Linked DNA regions of Elephas maximus indicus. The protein of the gene in region 1 interacts with the protein of each later gene in a biochemical or structural test. Links are inferred from orthologs where the notes say so. Each region holds a gene or a part of one and is shown in the gene's direction. Other genes may lie near its edges.

Region 1 (9,372 bases):
GCCCTAAATTTGCCCAGAGTTAGTTGTCCCTGACACGGGAGGCTCTTACGCTCATCGTAAGGCCCTAAATTTGCCCAGAGTTAGTTGTCCCTGACATGGGAGGCTCTTAACGCTCATCGTAAGGCCCTAAATTTGCCCAGAGTTAGTTGTCCCTAACACGGGAGGCTCTTACGCTCATCGTAAGGCCCTAAATATGCCCAGAGTCCCAATGTGAGCCCCTCCCAACCTCTCTGAGCTCATCATGTCCTCTTCCTTTGCTCATCTTCTCCACCCTAGCCTCTTTGCTGTTCCTTGACAACTCCAGGTAGGCTTCTCCCTGGGGCTTTTGCACATGCTATTCCCTCTGCCTGGAATTCTCTTCCTTCAAATATCCGTGCCTCCTTCCCTCACCTTCTGCGGGTCTTTGTTCGAACATCACTATCTTAGTGAAGGCCTCTTGGCCACCCTACCTGCATGGCCACTCCTTCCTCTTGACACACTGAATCTTCCTTCATGGCTTTATTTTGCTCCTTAGCAATCATCGCTATCTAATATACTGTTGAGGGCAGGAGAGTTCAGTGGTAGAATTCTCACCTTCCACACAGGAGACCCAGGTTCAATTCCTCTCCAGTGCATCTCAGGCATACCACCACCCATCTATCATTGGAGACTTGTGTGCTGTGATGCTGAACAGGTTTCAGTGGAGCTTTCAGACTAAGATAGCCGAGAAAGAAAGGCCTGGCGATCTACTACGAAAAATTAGCCAATGAAAACCACATGGAGTACAATGCTCTGATCTGCAACCACACATGGCAATGGTGCGGGGTTCTGGGGTCCGACTCAACAGCAGCTCCTAACAACAACAGGAAGTTAAGGGTGCGTGGGCTAATTCAAGAAATATTGTTTGAGCACCTACTAAGGCCAGGCAGTGGCATGTACCAAACAAGGAGCTTCCATTGTCCTCTCCCTGTGGAGTCAGGATGGGTTGGGTGTCAACGCGTAACAACACGCACAGAGTGTTGAGGACCAGGGAGGCTCACCCAAGCCTTGGTGTTCAGAGTTGTTTTGGGGACTCCTTTACGTAGGAGGATTGATTGATTGATGGATTGATCTCAATCTCCAGGTTGTCTGATGCAGCTGCCCCAAAGCCTCCACACTGTTGTCACTCTGTAGGTCCTTCTGATCTAGCCCCACCCTAAGACTATCAGGTGTGGCCAGCCCCCACCCGAAATCACATTGTTAGAGTATCCAATGAGACCCAAGGCCCCCAGGCAAACAGAGACTAGAGATTACCTCCTCACAGCCAAGGGCAAGGTTAAATTTTACAGGACACATAGGTTGCCTGCTTGTCCTCACAGAATGGTATTTGGCTTCCCTCAGGGTGAGTGATCCAAGGAGCAGGGTGAAAGCCTTTATGACTGAGTCCTGGAAGTCACAACTGTCCATTCTGACATAGGCCATCTGTTAGAAATGAGTCGCTTGGACCTCCCTACACTCAAGGAGAGGGGAATGAGGCTCAACCCTTTCAGGGGAGGAGTATCAAAGAATTTGTGGGTGTATTTTAAAACCATCACATTTTTAAATGCTGGCAACCAGTTCAGATATAAAACATGTTGTGACCCAGCCTGGTCAAACAACACCTCTCAGGGTTGGAGTTAGTAGATAGGCCACTAATCTGTACCTTCTGTACTAATCTGGGAGCCCTGGTAGCACGGTGGTTAAGAGCTCAGCTGCTAACTGAAAGGTCAGCAGTTCGAATCACCAGCTGCCTCTTGGAAACCCCATGGGGCAGTTCTACTGTGTCCTATACGGTCGCTATGAGTTAGAATGGACTGGACGGCAACATGTGCACGCTTGACCATGTAATCTGGTCTTTAGATGAAAGAGGTGCTTGGTCAACCATGTTGCATGGAAATATGACAAATCTCACCATTTTGCTTTTAAGGAAAATAACGCTGGCGCTAATGCTGAGACCAAAAACCAAACCCATTGCTGTCAAGTCAATTCCGACTCATAGTGACTAAGAAGTAACATGTAATTTGTTCATTGTTGTGCCCCCTATGTAGAAAATTGAGTGTCAGATAAGGAAAATATCTCATTTGGTATTTTTGACTGGTGAATGAGTTAATAATGAAGTCTTTAAGGACAGCTTCTTAATGGTTTGCAAAGTCAACAAAGTTTGTGGAAATTGAATAAATGGAATAGCCTGGCCGTGTATCTGGTGAATGTTTTATTTGCTTAACCATTAGCCTTCAACATGAAATAGCATTAACATTTGAGTACGTTTATATATTTAAATCTCTGATTTTTACTAAACTGTAACGCTGCTATTTAGGATTACTCTTCCTGTGTTCAGGTAGAGTCGGCGTTGTGTCTCCCAGCGCAAACATGGGAGATTAGCTCTAGTGCACCTACCTAGAAATGGAAATCCAGGGCCACAGCTAAGGATACTTTCAGTTTTACTAGTTTCTGTTTTCCAAAGAGGCCGTAACAATTCGCACTCCCGCCAGCAGCATCTGAGTCTTCACTTGGCTTTTTCCTGAGGGTCCTATAGGGAACTTGGACTTGAGTTCCCAGCAGGCAGGTCCTCTGATGTGTTGTGTCCAATCTGCATCACTTGAGTTCCCAATATACTTACTTACAGGTGTGCTTAAAACTACATGCTAACTTCTTCTTGGTCATTTGGGTTCTCTTTGGCCAAGGAAGAGTCCTCATGGTGAAATCTTTTCTGGGGGAACTTGGCGAGTCCGATCTCTGTGACTAGCTATCTGTTCTTGCTGCCAGAAATGAATTGGGAAGGAGGTTCCAATACGTCAGTTAAAAAAATCTGTGCTTCTCTACACAGATGCCAAAACCTGACTTTAGACTCAGGAGACAAGGTTGGAGGACGCCATTCTGTCCACATCCTTACTAAAAGTGGGTGATGATAACAGCTAATGCTTGTTGAGCTTGCGGACCCTATGAGGTAGGCAACCCCATGGCATGTGAGTTCTGTCAGTGCACAATCTGGTCCGGACTGCTCATCACATTCTCCCTACAAGTGTCAGGAACCCAAAAACTTGTTGACTGCATCCAGGTTTTTAACTAGGATTAGAACATCTGCCAAGGTCCAAACACAGAATTTCCTCGTTCTGTTGGCTAGACATGACCACAAAGACTGACTGATCAGATGTGCTAAGACAAAAGTAGCTTGTGTTTCATCGTGGGAAAGTAACTATCAATCCTTGCTTCATTCACCCCTTCCTCTGCTGCTAACCCAAAGGTTGGAAATTTCAGTTTACCCAGAGGTGCCTCCATTGAAAGACCTGCCACTGAGAACCCTACGGAGCACAGTTCTACTCTGACATACTCGAGGTCCCCATGAGTTGGAATGGACTCCATGACAACTGGTATTGGTGCTGATGGAGGCCTGGGAGTAAGAAGATTGAACTCTGGAGTGAATGGGATGTAGACCTGGTTTTGGTAGGCCCTAGATTAGTTGTGGAAGAAACCCTGGTGGTACAGTGGTTAAGTGCTACAGCTGCTAACCAAAGGGTTGGCAGTTTGAATCCACCAGGTGCTCCTTGGAAACTCTGTGGGGCAGTTGTACTCTGTCCTATAGGGTCGCTATGAGTTGGAGTCAACTCGACGGCAATGGGTTAGATTAGGAGTAGGAGCTGTGGTGGTGCAGCGGTTAAGCACTCGGCTGCTCACCAAAAGGTTGGTGGTTGGAACCCAGTAGTCATTCTTCAGGAGAAAAATATGGCAGTGTGCTTCTATGAAGATTCAACAAACAAACAAAAAACCAAACCACTGCCGTGGAGTCGATTAAAACCCTATGGGGCAGTTCCACCCTGTCCTACAGGGTCGCCATGAGTGGGAATCAACTTGATGGCCATGGGTTTAGAGTTTTTTGTTTTTGTTTAGATTGGGAGTAAAGTCCCTCAGTGTCACAAGCAGTTTGTGACAAGCTATTAACCTAAAGGTTGGTGGTTCAAACCCACCCAGTGGCCCCTCAGAATTAAGGCCTGGCATTGGGCTTCCGGACACCCTCGTGACATACTGGTTAAGAGCTATGGCTGGTAACCAAAAGGTCGGCAGTTCAAATCCACCAGGCGCTCCTTGGAAACCCAATGGGGCAGTTCCATTCTGTCCTATAAGGTTGCCGAGTCAGAATCCATTCAGTGGCAATGGGTTTTTAATGAGCTTCCATAAGGAGCCCTGGTGGCACAATGGTTAAGCGCTCCACTGCTAACCTGAAGATTGGCAGTTAGAACCCCCCCACTGAGTGGCTCTGTAGGAGGAAGACCTGGCCATGTTCTCACATAAAGATTACCAGCCAAGAAAACCCTATGGGACAGTTCTACACTGTCACAAGGGGTCCCTATGAGTTAGAATCAACTATATGGCGTCTAAGAACAGTCGGCTTCCATAAAGATTACCAGCCAAGAAAACCCTATGGGACAGTTCTACTCTGTCACAAGGGGTCCCTATGAGTCAGAATCAACTATATGGCGTCTAAGAACAGTCGGCTTCCATAAAGATTAAAAACAAACAAAAAAACCAGCCAAGAAAACCCTATGGAGCGCTGAGAGCCCTATGAAGCCCAGTTCTGACATGACAGCGGATCGCCAGCAATCGGCACGGACCGGAAGGCAAGGGGCTTGGGTCCTTTTTGGTTTGGATTAGTAGTGGTTTAGGACTGGTTCGTTCATTCTCCAAGTGTTTGAGACCCTCCCTAAGCCCTGGGCACGCTGCGGGGAGCACGTGGTGACAGGAAAGGTCGGGGAGAGCATGTGGGAGACAAGGGAGGGATGGCTCGGAGCCCGGGACAAGCGGGGGCCTCCTGCACCATGGCGAACGCTCGCACAACTGGTACGCGTGGGTCGCTACGCCAAGGCCCCCAGCCCCCGGCACTGAGGGCCCGGTGCTCCGCGTGCGCCGGCCGCGCCCCGACTTTCCCGCCCAGGCCCGCAGCCCGTCCTCCGCCTCTGAGTCACGGCGGGAGCTGGGCGCGCCGGGAGCGCGTCGGCGCATGCGCCCGGAGTCCGCCGGGAACGGGACCGCGAGGGCCGGCGGGAGCGCGCGCGCCCACCCTGCGCGCCGCCAGCCCCGCCCCACAGGCCCGGCGGCTGCTACGGCCGCCCTCACCGCCTGCGTGCGTGCGCGCTCCCGTCGGGGCCGCGTGGGAGCGCGTCGCGTCGTTGCCCCGCCCTGAGCGCGCGCCGGCGTCGTCTGCGTCTCCGGGCATTTGAATTGCGCTTCCGCCATCTTTCCATCCCTCAGTCAGACGGGGCCCGGAGACGCTTCTCGAAGGTAGCGGCGGGCAGCGGGCGCTGGGGTGGAGAGGGCCGGCGGGCGGCCGGGGAGGGCCGGGGCCGTGGCGGAGCGGCGAGCGGAGGGCAGCGGAGGGCGGGAGGCGGCGGCCCTGAGGAGACGGTTAGCTCCGGGACGGCGGGCGGGCGGGCGGGCGGCCTCCTTGGCGCGCTTTCCTCCCCACAGCCTCGGGGCCGCCGTCCCTGCTCTCGTCCGGAGCTCCGAGCGGGCGGCGAGGCTCCGGGGCGGCCTCCGGGGGTGCGGGCTGCGCCTCGGCCTGCCCGGCGGCCCCGTGACCAGGCGCTCTCGGCCGCGCCCAGCCCTGGGCCCATCAGGCCCGGCCGGCGTCTCGGGCGTCGGGAAGGGCCGCCATGGCGCCCGTGCACCCCCGCCCTCCTCGGCCGCCCGCCCGCCCGCCCGCGGGATGAATGGGCCGCGGCCTTTGTGGCCGCGGCGGCACGTGGGGTGTCCAGGGTGGGCCGGCCATGTGGCGACCCGGCCGCGTCACGCCGTCCCCCTTCCTTTGCAGGACCATCACGATGGCTGCCCAAGGAGAACCCCAAGTCCAGTTTAAAGTACGTGGTGGCCCCTCTGGGCTGGTGGTGGCCCCTCTGGGCTGGTGCTGGCCGGGGGCGGGCAGGAGGGGCCGGGGCAGCGGCTGTTGTTGAGGGGATCCCTCGGTCCCTGCCAGCGCCTGCTGACCGGCCGCTTTGTGTGTGCTGACACCGCACGAGGTCCTTTAATTCTCTCTCTCCGTGACGGGGGAGGGGGGCTAGCCCTGGTTTGTGGGTGAGGAAACTCAGTAGGGCCGCCCGTACCGGGGGTTACATAATTCTTGGGAAAGACATGCTATTTCCGAGGAGTTGACCCCCATTTGGGTGGAAGGGGAGGACGTTATATGAAAACTGTCTTCGTGTGTGATTTACTCACAGCATTTAGATGTAACAGGGCCACGTAATAACTAAGTGTAAATATCAGTTAACTGAGTTAAAATACTGTCCAGGCACTTCTAACAACTCCGTGATTCCAGGCTTGTGAAATATATTTTGAGTTTGTTTCTTGAAAGAAAATTGTATCCCAACAGCTCGTATTGGTTGGTGATGGTGGTACTGGAAAAACTACATTTGTGAAACGTCATCTGACTGGTGAATTTGAGAAGAAGTATGTAGGTATGTGGGGGGAGAAAAGGGTCTGTGGACATTTTTATGAAGTGAATAATTCAGTGACTAATCTGAAATGTTTGTATTTCAGCCACCTTGGGTGTTGAGGTCCATCCCCTTGTGTTCCATACTAACAGAGGACCCATTAAATTCAACGTGTGGGATACAGCTGGTCAGGAGAAATTTGGGGGACTGAGAGATGGCTATTATATCCAAGGTAGGTGTCTCCTCTGTGACTTGAGTAGTTTTGGAAAGAATTTGTATTCTAGTGTCCAAAGTCCATTCCAGCATATACTTGGCTTAATTCTGGGTGTACTGGGGATTATATAATTACATTAAAAAAAGACATGCTGCCTACAGCAAGCTGACCATTGTTTTATAGGTGGAGGGGGAGGAAATACGAAAGTTGTCGTGTGTCATTTTATTTCATGCTTTGTCATGCTAGGTGTTATTTTGAAAAAGAAAACAAAATTATGATTTATACCGAGGCTCAAAATTTAAAAGCAGTAACAGTAAGCAACAGACAAGCTGTTGCTGCAACTTAAGTATTTGGAAATGTGGGTTCAGGTATATATTTTGGTGGTTATTAAGGATTATTTCTTGTTTGTTATGTTAAAACCACTTTGACCAGATACTAGGATCGGAGGAGCTAGGCTCTATATCTTACAAGTGTTGTATAAGACAACTAATTTCTCCTTTGTACCAGTTTTTACAGAATTTTTTCCAAAGTATTTAAGAACTGTAAAAGAAATAAATGGTCATTGTGGCACCAAACAAAACAAAGATGAATAAACAAAATACTAATTTTTCCTGAAATCTCACTTTCCTAATGCAGAGTTGTTTGAAAATGTCTACACCTTTTGCTCTGACCATGTGCAAATGAACACATAGGGTTTGTTTTTTAAGAAAGAAGTTATATCATGCTTGTAAATAGTCTGTAGTTTATTGCCTTTTTAACTATATTATGACCGTCCCTACAGGTCAATATATGGATTTATCTGAGGTTTTTGAAATAGAACTATACTATTTTCTAGTATACATTCAATAAATTTTATGAGGTTTTATTTTTTTTAATGAGGATTCCCAGGCTCCATGCTAGGCCCTTAATCTACTTCAGATACTTCCTGGGGAATGAGGCAGTGTTAATGAAGTATTTGGGAGGTATAGGAGAAGAAATTTATACAGTCATGTCTTTCAAGCTGTTTTAAAAAAATATAAAGGTGCCCAAAAGCAAGAAGAGAAGGCAGGAAGGGACAGGAACTGGATGAATGGACACAGGGAACCTGGAGTAGAAAGGGGGAGTGTGCTGTCACATTGTGGGGATTGCTACCGATGTCAAAAAACCAATAACGTGTATAAGTTCTTGAATGAGAAATTAACTTGGGCTGTAAACTTTCACCTAAAGCTCAATAAAATAAAGAAATAAATTTTAAACTATACTGTTATAGTCATTTAAGATTTTCAAAATTGAAAGAGCACTTGAAATAGAGGGCTGTAGATGACACAGAGCAGGCCTGAGATAACAGTCTCTCTGGTCCATGGCTGTTAGCATTTCTTATCTGTGTAGTAAACTCCTAGGTGTGTTCTAATCACTACAAGTTTTCCTTCCAGCCCAGTGTGCCATTATAATGTTTGATGTAACATCGAGAGTTACTTACAAGAACGTGCCTAACTGGCATAGGGATCTGGTTCGAGTATGTGAAAACATCCCCATTGTGTTGTGTGGCAACAAAGTGGACATCAAGGACAGGAAAGTTAAGGCAAAATCCATCGTCTTCCACCGAAAGAAGAATCTTCAGGTATGTTTCTTAACTTACTGAGTTAAGATTCTTAGGTAAAATTGTGCATAGGTCTGACACTGATCTATAAATGTCTTTTTTTATGTATGGATTGAAAATTTTTGTCTTAGTGGAATGTCCCCTGAATAATTGTTTTAGTAACTTTTTTAAAAACACTAATTTTACTTTTTTTTAAACAGTACTATGACATTTCTGCCAAAAGTAACTACAACTTTGAAAAGCCCTTCCTTTGGCTTGCTAGAAAACTAATTGGAGATCCTAACTTGGAGTTTGTTGCCATGCCTGCTCTTGCCCCACCAGAGGTTGTCATGGACCCAGCTTTGGCAGCACAATATGAGCATGATTTAGAGGTATCACGTTAAAATTTCTGTTAATGCTCTCAGATTTGGCATGTTACTTTTAAATGACTTTAACCTGCCACATTAATAATCTCTTGTTCTCTTTTCTCTAGGTTGCGCAGACAACTGCTCTCCCGGATGAGGATGACGACCTGTGAGAGAATGAAGCTGGAGCCCAGCGTCAGAAGTCTAGTTTTATAGGCAACTGTCCTGTGATGTCAGTGGTGCAGCGTGTTTGCCACTTTAGCTATATAATAATCTTTGGGATGCTGAAGGAGATGAATGGGCTTCGGAGTGAATGTGGCAGTTAAAAAAAACCTTCATTTTTTTGGACCTGCATATTTAGCTGTTTTGGAACGCAGTTGTTTCCTTCCTGAGTTTCAAATATAAGACTGCTACAGTCACATCACAATATTCAGTGGTGAAATCTTGTTTGTTCCTGTCATTCCCATTCCTTTTCGTTTAGAACCAGAATAAAGTTGTATTTCAAATACCTAAGCAAGTGAACTCATCCCTTGTTTCTGATTTTAAAACCACTACCCAGGAATTTGTGCCAGGTTACTGTTTAAAAAGGCTTCGTTATTACCACTCAGAAACCTGTTAGGTTAATTACTCCCTTCATCTACTTTGTATTGGAATCCTCACAAGCTGGCTGGTATGACAAAGGATTTGATAAGAAACGAAGTATAAATGTTAAGCTAAAACCCGTCTGTCTTCGTTTAGGCAAAATAGTATCACCTATTGAAAAGCTTGTTTATATGTGAGCTGTCAGTAAAGGTGGTATGTGGTTTGGATATTTCA
Region 2 (10,165 bases), on another chromosome or scaffold:
GGCTGTTAGAGGGCCCACTTTCCTCTCCAGTGCCTGGCAGTAACCTCAGAGTGGTATACCTCCAGTGTGGGCCCAGGAGGGTCTGGGGTCCCTTGAGCAAGGCTGTCACCACTCCAAATTGCTCTAACTTGAGTCTAGCCACTGCCTTCCCCAGGGATCTTTGCTGGATGTGCTCACAGTGGTGGGAATCTCACCAGCATTTCTTTGTGGCCTTCCAGTGCCCTGACTGGAGACTGGGTTTGTGGCTTTTGCTCTTTTCGCTGAGATTCTTTCATAGTCACGTTTATTCAAGTGCTGAGTAGCCGCTTCAGAAGTGGTACCCATCAGGGTGTCTTCCCAGGGTGAGAGACAGAGGAACCCTTCCCAGAGGTGGAAGGTCCAACAAACCTGGCCAAGGGGGCTCCTTGGGTGTCCCTTCGACAGATGGCCCTGACCTGGGGGGTTAGGTAGGGACAGGAGCCAGCAGGGGCATCAGAAATGCTGATAATCCTGGTATTAGAGTCCAGTTCAGCTCATCCAAGCAGCCTTGGTTGCACAGTGGTTAAGCACTTGGCTCCTAACTGAAAGGTTGGTGGTTCAAACTCACCAGCCGCTTATGGGAGAAAGATGTGGCATTTTGCTTCCATAAAGATGTACAGCCTTGGAAACCCTGTGGGGCAGTTCTTTGTCCTATAGAGCCACTATGAGTTGGAATCAGCTTGACAGCAGTGGATTTGATTTTGAGTCTGTGTCCTTTTTTGGGGAGAGTGAGATAGTTCTAAAAAGTGTTCCACAGGATGGACATTAAAAGTTGGGTAAGATTTCTATGGGCTGGCATTGAGCTGAACTACCTGATGGTCTTTTTGAAGGTGTTGTTTTTGTGCTTGGGGTTGGATTTGAGTAGGTTACCCTTTCCCCACCTTTGGCATTCTGTGATTCACTTGCTTTGACCACATGTGGCAGGAATTCTTGAATCCCTCCCTGAGGGAGGCAGCTGTGTGTGGGTTATTCCTGAAGTGACTTCCAGGCCCATGTGATGTGACCATTCTTTTCATCCTGGTCATCAGGCCTGTGTTGCGCCATCTCTGTTCTCACCCTGTCGCCATCTCTGTTCTCACCCTGTCGGTTGGAGTGGGCTCTTCAGGGTAGAATACGATTGCTCAGGTCTGATTGTGGCTGGGGATGTCTCACAGTGGCAGGAAACAGGGACACAGGAGGGCCAGGGATGGCCCTGCTAACAGGCCCCAGGGCTCCCACTGCTGGCTGACCTGCTGAGGTTGAGAACTTCCCCTCACTGCTCTGGGCCTTAATCCTTATTTGTTGCGGGTACCTCCTGTGTTCCAGTTCCCTAAGACCCCAGGCTGGAGAGGGTGCTACCTTGGAGATGGAGAACTAAGGGCTGTCTGCTTCAGTAGCCTCAGAAAACTAGGGGATTCTGGGATGTTTGTTTCTTGAAGACTCAGGTACTCTATCCAAGGCCCTGGGTCTCACCAGGGCAGAAACTGGAAAGACTGCTGCCCCCCTGGAAGGACTTCTGTGTAGAAACTAGTTCCACTTGGGGATAGTTTCAGACACAGGAGAATGCAAGTTCTCAGTTGTTCCTGTGGTGTAAACCTGCTCTGATGGGCTGAGTATGTACCCAGGTGCTTTCCATCTCGAGGAGTGTACAGCTTGCTGATTTCAGAGGGGAAAAAAAGGCTGGGGCTTTGTTCCTTGTCACCGGATTTTGCCACCTGTGCGCTTTCTGGTACTCCCATTGGCCCTCAGCTGTTCCATTCCAGGCCATTTTGTGGTCATTCTAATGCTGGCTATGCCAGTGGCCTTTTGTGATCTTGAATTCTCTCTTAACCTCTTAGAGCCACAGTTGCTTCATCTACAAAATGAAGGTAATTATACCAGCTTTACAGGGCTTGTTGTGAGACCCAAATGAGAGAATACACATTAAGTATTCGGCTACAGGAGGCACTCCCTCCACCACCCTGTGGACGCCACATTCATCCGTTTATTTGCCTACTTATCTTGGTATCACAGCAGTGTTGGGCAGGCGTGGTGATGGCTAACCACAGAGGTGGTCACTTAGGAGCTTCAGGCCCCATTGGGGAAGCCAAGTCCATGTGTACCTGATTGGGAAGTTCATAGCCTGGGAAGTCAGCTCATGGATGCAAGCTGTGTGGAAGGACAGGAACCCCAGAGATTGTCTCAGCCACCCAGGAAAGGGAGATTACCCAGGGAGTGAATAAGTGCAGAGCAGAGAGACCAGAATACAGGCTTCGGGATTTGGCTTCTGGAACAGCAGGGACAGCTCAGTGGCTCTGGAGCCCTCTCTCCAAGTGGAAGAAGGGGAAAAGGCCCTTGGGGTGCTGGAATGCCCAGGCCCTAGGTGTCTGCCCCAGGAAATTATTCTTTCCTGACCAGCCGTCTGGGCACCAGACGTTGGCTGATTACTCTGCAGATTTCAGGGAAGCAGGGGAGTTGTGGGCTGGGCAGTTGCCATTCCTAGTTGAAGCTTGCTTCATGGTGTACTATGTCCTGAAAGAGGCCAATATACCCATCCTCTTGCTTGCTGTTGACCTAGTGTTCCCTTAGGAAATGGCAATAACTCCTTAAACAGCTGGTCCTGCTTTATACCTTCAGTTGATTTCCCCTTACAGATGAGGAGACTGTGTCAGAGGGTGATACTACTAGGAGAGATGAGGCAGAACTAGAGACCAGGCTTGAGCGTGGGGCTGTGTGCTTGCTGTTCAGCCTCAGCTGCTCCTCAGGTGTGCAGGGCCTTGGGACTGAGAAAGAGAGTCAGGGCCAGGCCCCACTTACCACATGACCTCAGACAGACAGATGACTGGGTGCACAACAGAAGATTATTTCCTGACTACTTGGACAAGAGGTGTAGGTGGAGGGGAAATGGGTCTCTCGGCCACTTAAATTGACCTGGCTTTGCCGAGGACTCACTCCTTCAGAGAAGAAGGGCCGGCCTCTCAGCCAACCTCCTACACATTCATAAACTTAGACAACAAATAGATTTTGAGGGTTGGGCCAGGCACCATGGAAACAGGGGTGACTATGGTAGACATGGCGCCTGCCCTGGTCAGGGAGACAAATCGTAAGTAAATATGTAAGTGTGATGATCTCATACAGTGATAAATGCTAAGAAGATGATATAAGATGGTAAAATGATTGACTAGGGCAGCTACTTTAGACCGAGTGGTCAGGGAAGGCATCTGAGGAGGTGACGTTTGACACATGACAAGGGGCCAAGACACGTGATGGTCTAGGGGGAAGAGTGATCCAGGTAGAAGGATTAACAGTTGCAAAGTCCTAGGGTGAAAACAGGCCCAGCATGTTCCAGAAACAGGAAGGTGCCCAATGTGGCTGCAGAGGAGGGAGGAAGCGAGTGGCAGGAGATGAGGTTGGAGAGCTGGTAGGGTCCAGTCACCCAGGGCCCAGGGCCATTATAAGCAGGAGAAGTGGTTAGGACTGTATTCCTGGTGCAAGAGGAAATCATTGGAGGGCCATGGACAGGATACATAGCACCCCTCAGACCATGAAATCAGGGGAGCAGTTGGTTCCTAAAGGAGAGACACCCTGCAGTGTCTTCTTGTCCTTGGTGACAGCTTTCTCCTCTCCTCTCCAATACATGGGCCCATGGTTTTTTTTTTCATTCCATTGTGCTTTATTAGCGCAGCCTTCTTAATCAAATATTGAAAGAATTTATATGTATAATAATAATTTACTGTAATTGTATATGTTTATATCACATTTGGACCTAGGTACCATTCTTTTGTTTTTTTAAACAATTTACAGATTTATTTTCTTTGTTTTCTTAATTTTGTTGTTTTAGGTGAAAGTTTATAGTGCAAATTAGTTTTTCATTCAAAAATTTATACAGAAATTGTTTTGTGACATTGGTTGCAGTCTGTTCAGTGTGTCAGCACTGTCTCATTTTCCCCTTCTACCCTGAGTTCTCCATGACCGTCGTCTGGTTTTCCTGCCCCTTCCTGCCTTCTTTGCTTTTGGGCAGGTGTTGCCCATTTGGTCTTGCATACTTGAATGAAGCCCATGAGGTTTAAGCCGTGTTTGGCTGTCAGTCTCTCTGTTAGAGGAGCTTTTCCTAGGCCCCATGCAGCAGGGCTGTTTTTAGGGCCTGGCCTGCAGCATAACCGGGTTGGTAGCTAATTTCAAGGGCCCCACTGTGGGTTTGGCACATCTGCTGGCGTCTCCTGTAGGCCTTGGTGATGGCCCGTCAGGCACGCGAGCTGTTCTGTGTGCCAGCCTGGAGGTGATGACATCCCCTTTCCCATTGCTCTTTTACCGCTGTCCCTGCCCCAGGTCTGGCTAGGCCAGGATCTACCTCTACTTTGAAGGTTTGGGAAAGCTGTGAGGTCATCCCCCATGAAAACATCCATTGTTTGGGCTGGTGGGTTTAGTGTGGAAATCTCCTGCCTGGTACCTTTGCTTGGAGGCAGAAGCCCTGGTTCAGGGCTGTGTTGCCCCTCTCAGAGGCCCTGGCTTCAGCCCTACATGCCAGGAACACTGCTCTCACTGGTGTGGACTGTTTTTTATCTCCAGACCAGGGTATTGTTGGGAGTCCTAGCTCTGGAGTCCACTAAACCAGGTTATTCCATTCCACCATCTACCAGACTGGTGACCTTGAACAGGTTAGCTAACCTCACTGACCACCCCTGACATGGAGTGTACCTTACTTACAGGGTGGTGTTTAGGGCAAATGCATATGAAGCCCTTAGTACATTTCTACACCTAGTAAGCATTAGTGAAAATGGGATGTAGTCATCAGCCAGACATTGATATTTCAAGAGCTTTGTCTTTGGAAACACTGACCCAGAATTTGAGGATAAAAATGAAGTTTTTTTGTTGCTTAATAGATCTCCTGGGCCAGAAATTTTACCTGGGGCCTATGACTGAACTTCAAGTCTGAAACAACCTGAAATTTTTCACAAGGCTGGGACACCTCCGTATCTGTGCAAATTTGGGGTGAGAGCCACAATGCTTAAGACATTCTTTAGAGGGTCTTTGCAACTATAGAGACCTAATGGTCAGCAAAGGCTGATGCTCAGTGGGCAAGAGGTCATTGAGGTCATTTCTGCTCCTCGTGGAGCCTGGTCTTAGTCGGCCTGCGGACTGTTGGGGTAAAGCAGGAGATGGTGTGGTCGGCAGCCCTCTTGGGAGAGCTGTAGGAGAAGCCGTCATGAAGGTCAGTCCCCAGTTTGGTGTGAGGCCACTTTTTTTTTTTTTTAAATTTTGTGCTTTAAGTGAAAGTTTACAAATCAAGTCAGTCTCTCATACAAAAATTTGTATATACCTTGCTACCAAAACCAAACCCAACCCACTGCCGTCGCAACGATTCCGACTCACAGTGACCCTATAGGACAGGGCAGAACTGCCCCATAGAGTTTCTGAGGAGTGCCTGGTGGATTTGAACTCCCGACCTCTTGGTTAGCAGCCGCAGCACTTAACCACTACACCACCAGGGTTTCCTACACCTTGCTATATACTCCTAATTGCTCTTCCCCTAGTGAGAAAGCCTGTTCCTTCACTCCACTTTTTCTTTTCTTGTTCATTCCGGTCAACCCACTACTGAGCCTTGACGTTTTGTTTCTGCCTGGGCATGTTATTTACACAGTAAATGTATTAGAAACAAGGTCAGGGCTTGCTGGCCATCCTGGGGAGCACCCTGCCAGCCTGGCCTGAACCCCTCCTTTATATAGCATGGGGATTGAAAGGGGGATTTGCACCCTGATTCTTTTTTTGGACTCCGGAATGCTGCCTCCCTGTCTCGAGTTGAGGGAGGTGGAAGGTGGATCTAGCATAATAGTTGGAACCAGAAGCCATAAATCTTGCAGTTTGCTGTACTCTGGGGGGAGAGGGGTTGGGGGAGGTGGGCCAGAACCACAATGGAGCCCAGAGCCAGAGAGCTCCCAGGCAGAGGAGTGGCCCCAGGGTGTGGCAGATGGATTTACACATAAAGGAGAACACAGCCTAGAGTGGGGTTGGAGGTCAGTGTTTGAGTCTGGGATGAAGACCCCAAATAGTTGGGGCCTGAAATGTGACTTGAAGGAGGAGCTGGAACTGACCAGGCAGATGAGGGAAGGGAGGGCATCCCGGCAGGGGGACTTGCCTGTGCAAAAACTCAGTGGATGAGCACCCAGTGGGGTCTGGTGTTTGTGCGTGGATCTGGATCAAGGTAGGAGGGAATGGCTAGGGAGGCAGGGACAAGTATGGATGGTGGTGCTCAGGGGTTTGGCCTTTAACCCAAAGGCCAGGGGAGGGCCATGGCCAGCTTTGTGTTTTAGCTTTCAGGGTTGCCCAGAGTTAGCAGAAGGAAAGCATTGGCCTTGGCCAGAGGAAGGACCCAGCTGTCAGCGATGATGTACTGGAAAGCTTGGAGCAAGACCTCCACTTCGCTGCACCTCACTGTTCTTATCTGTAAAGCGGAATCTGACCCCCTGGCTGTGGGATCACTACATGGAAATAAACACAGGAAGGTCAAGCAGGCCTCTGAGAGGTTGGTGTTGGCCACAGTGGGCCCCTAGTTTCAAAGGTTCCTTCTTAAACTTTGGGAACCCAAAGTTGGCCTGTCCCTCAGGAGAGCTCACTCCAGTCCACTCTGCCCTGCCCACCCCACCAGACCAAAGGAACCTCCATCCCTCTTTATCCCTCTATCCCTCTTCCCTGCCAAATAGATTTTCTGTTTGTACTATAAATTTATTACACCGTTAAGAGCAATACTGAAAAAGGAAAAAACATTCCTACACTTCCTCTGCCCCACCATCCCAGCACATGGTGGCACTTTTCTTGTCTGCAGATCAGCTTCCACCGTTAGTTTCTACTCTTCATCTCCAGTGTTCTGGTTTCTTGCTCTCATCTCTTCTTCTCATGCCCCCAGACATTTGCCGATGCTATTTCTCCTGATTGGCATACTCTTTCTCTAAGACCTCCACCAAGGGCTGCCCAGTCTTGCTCTGAGCTAAGGGCAGAGGGAGAGATGGCCCTCATCCATTCCTCCAGCCTAGCCCAGTCCTTTGCCAAGAGCTCTCAGGGCTGCCAGGGTGTCTTGGTTGGGGTGAGGGGGGGACGCAGCAGGGGCAAGCCTCAGTTAGTGAACTAAGCTTAGTGGATCCTAGGATGGAAAGGACAGAGATGCTGGGGGCAGACAGATCTGTGCTCTACCTTATAAAACTCAAGTTCGTATGTGACCAAGACAGTGTAGCTGAGACTAGATGTTGGTCCCATGCTTTTCCCATTTGTTGGTTTGCTTTTTGGCTGAATGTGAACTGGGACACACTTTGTGTTCCTGTGTAGCAGGCATGGATGGGTCCTAGCTTTCTCCTCTTCTGCTTGTTTTAGACTTTCCTGGACATTTCTTAGTCATCCCAGCACAGAGGTTCTATTTTTAGTACCATTACCTCCTAAGGGACCTAAAATAAAGCTGGCTCATTTTCCTGGCCCCTTATTGGCTGCATTGTTGGTCATATGCTTGGGGATTGGCTGGGCTGGTGATAAGCCACTGTCCCCTACACTGCCCCTCCCCTCTGCCTTCTCTGGCCTTGGGTGAGGTCACAGGGACGAGGGCTGAAACTAGCACTTAGCATGTTGAGCTGAGGGCTTTTCCAGGTTTAGTTAGTGAAGCTTTACAGCCACTGGCAGCATTGGGTAACATCCCCATCTTACAGAGGAGGAGGCTAAGGCCCTGCCTGAGAAGAGGAGCGACTTGCATCAGCTTCCACCACTGCAAATTATCATCTGCCAGAGTTGAGCCCTCCTCCTCACTGCTTTGGTTCAGAGTCCTGTTATCAGGGCAGAGAGGATGGCTCCCCAACAGCTGGAGACAACTAGAGAATGACACATGGGGTGGCTGTCATGGCATCCTGCAGCGAGATGTGGCGCCCCTACCTAGCAAAGGCAGAGTGGCTCTCTCATCTTGTACTTGGATTTCCCATCCAGCACCCTGGGGCCATGGTCTCTGTAGTTTTGGGAAGGAGGGCTCCCCTCAGCGACCCAAAAGAGCCAGCTTCTTAGAATAGAGGCAGTGCTGAAAAGGAGAGATGTGAAGACATGACATGCTTCCCTCTCCCACAACCTCTATTTCCCCTCTCACACTTCTTGGCTATTCTCTGAGCCTCCGAACTCATGCCTTTAGTTCTGAAGCAGTAGGGATTGGTGGGGTGGTTCAGTGGGTCACTCTCATCAATGAAGAAATGCCCCAGAACGGGCCAGGGTGGATGTCATCCAGCCTCAGAGATTTAAACTGCTCTCTTGACTTGGGGGTCACTTGCAGTTCTTTTTGGAAGTGGCTTTTGGGGAGCCAGCTTTCCCCTTCTCACGGGGTCTTCTATACCTGTCAGCACAGCCCTGGGGCAGTGTTGGGGGCCTGAGTGCTGAGTACTGACAGGATGAGGAGGGGGCCTGAGAGCTGCCATAGAAACACTCCGTACTCAGACATCCAGTAGATCCTGGTCTGCAAAGTGGGAGGAATAGCAATAACTCTGGTTTTGCAAGTTGTTGAGAGGATTAAATGAAAAGATACGGAGAGAGTGCTTAGCTCCTCCTTAAAGGCCCCTCTCCTTAGTGGGCACAGAAGGGCCTGTTCCTTGGCCCTGGCTCAACCCTCAGCACCTGGCCTGTATCTTGTATGCTTCACCACCCTGACACCCCTTTGTGTTGTCAACCAGGAGGTCCTCAAAGGAAAGGCTGAGTCTATACCACTTCCAGGCTCCCACCACTGGTTTGGCTTTGGAGGAGTCTCTTACCAGTTCCCTAGGGCCTTTCAGTATTTCCTGGGAGACCAGACCTCAGCAAAGTACTCCCTGCTCAAGGAGGCCAGGGAGGGTTGAGGGGTCAGTGAAGAGCTAGCGGCCAGCCCCCTCCTGCTTGTGCAGTACCAACTCTTCCCTCCTTGTCTCTTGCTGGTCCTGCAGGTTTCAGCAAGGCTGGGCAACACTCCAGAATGGGAGACAAGCCAATTTGGGAACAGATTGGATCCAGCTTCATTCAACATTACTACCAGTTATTTGATAACGACAGAACCCAACTAGGCGCAATTTACGTAAGTCTCTAGCTCTAGGGCCAGTGTGGGGCCACAGGGCATCAATTTGGGTTTTGGGCCAGTATATCCAGGTCATGCACAAGTTCTGGCAGACCTGGTTGGACTTGGCTGGACCCTCTGAGCTTCTGTCTATGTGATAAGGGGCCTGAGGTCTGGGCCAGCCATCTGGTCTAAACATTGTCGACTTTATCATCTTCCATAAGAGTGGGGAGTCCTGGTACACTGAGCAAGGTGTATTCTGGCCTTGCCATTTCATGTGACTTGAACCCTGGCAGGGCACATCGTCTGGGACATACCTCTGTTTCAGGTTGGGACAGCAGTGGGCAGAGGCCAGGGATCATGGTGCCCTGTGATGGCAGCAACCTTGAGCATCCTAGTACAAAGCTGAGCTCTCCTGGAGGCCCTGGGTGTAGCTACCTGTTAGGGGTTGAAAAGCCCTTGAATGCTATGGGAAACAAGCAGGATTAGCCCAGGGAGACTGGTGTGTCACCTGAGAAACCCTTCTATGCAGGCATCGTTTGCTGCTCTTTTAATGGTGTCCTTATACACCAAAAACTACTTGTATTTGACACTGCCCAAGATTTCATCACAGAAATGTGATTGATCAGGCTACTGTCTAGCATGTCTGCCCAGGGTCGGGGTGATAGGAGTTATCCAAGCATACCCTCAGAGCCTGACTGGACTATGGGCAAATTCCTGTCTCTGCCTCCAGAAAGTCAGGGTCCGTTGAGGGAAAAAGAAAAGTATTTTACCAGTGGAGGCCAAGTCCAGCACAGGTATGAGTTGATCCTCATTATCGTAGGTAGAGACTAAAAAAAAATACTTGAATTGATCTGTGGAATCCTGGCACTTCTGCCTTATTACGTCTTTTTTTTTTTTAATTTGTTGTTGTTGAGAATAAACATAGCAAAACATACATCAATCATTTCTACACGTACAATTCTGTGACATTGATTACATTCTTTGAGTTGTGTAACCATTCTCACCCTCTGAGTTGTTCCCCCCCGCCCGTTAACATAAACTCACTGCCTCCTAAGGTTCCTATCTAACCTTTTGAGTTGCTGTTGTCAATTTGATTCCATATAGTTAGTTCTTAAAAGAGCATAATGCTCAATGCCTCATTTC

The links. The genes of interacting proteins can lie anywhere in the genome.
Region 2: the proteins of RAN (region 1) and NUTF2 form a complex in vitro, tested with the Homo sapiens proteins (3 studies listed by BioGRID, with this or other methods). The link is inferred for Elephas maximus indicus from reciprocal best matches to the Homo sapiens genes RAN and NUTF2.

Annotation. Positions count from the first base shown.
Region 1 is NC_064840.1:1,473,907-1,483,278, reverse strand, and holds RAN (GTP-binding nuclear protein Ran), read left to right. Parts: upstream 1-5,180; 5' UTR 5,181-5,274; intron 5,275-5,803; 5' UTR 5,804-5,813; coding exon 5,814-5,849; intron 5,850-6,358; coding exon 6,359-6,443; intron 6,444-6,525; coding exon 6,526-6,651; intron 6,652-8,045; coding exon 8,046-8,233; intron 8,234-8,412; coding exon 8,413-8,583; intron 8,584-8,684; coding exon 8,685-8,729; 3' UTR 8,730-9,064; downstream 9,065-9,372. UniProt on the Homo sapiens protein: GTPase involved in nucleocytoplasmic transport, participating both to the import and the export from the nucleus of proteins and RNAs. Switches between a cytoplasmic GDP- and a nuclear GTP-bound state by nucleotide exchange and GTP hydrolysis.
Region 2 is NC_064839.1:34,291,534-34,301,698, forward strand, and holds the start of NUTF2 (nuclear transport factor 2), read left to right. Parts: upstream 1-6,280; 5' UTR 6,281-6,459; coding exon 6,460-6,499; intron 6,500-8,912; coding exon 8,913-9,040; intron 9,041-10,165. UniProt on the Homo sapiens protein: Mediates the import of GDP-bound RAN from the cytoplasm into the nucleus which is essential for the function of RAN in cargo receptor-mediated nucleocytoplasmic transport.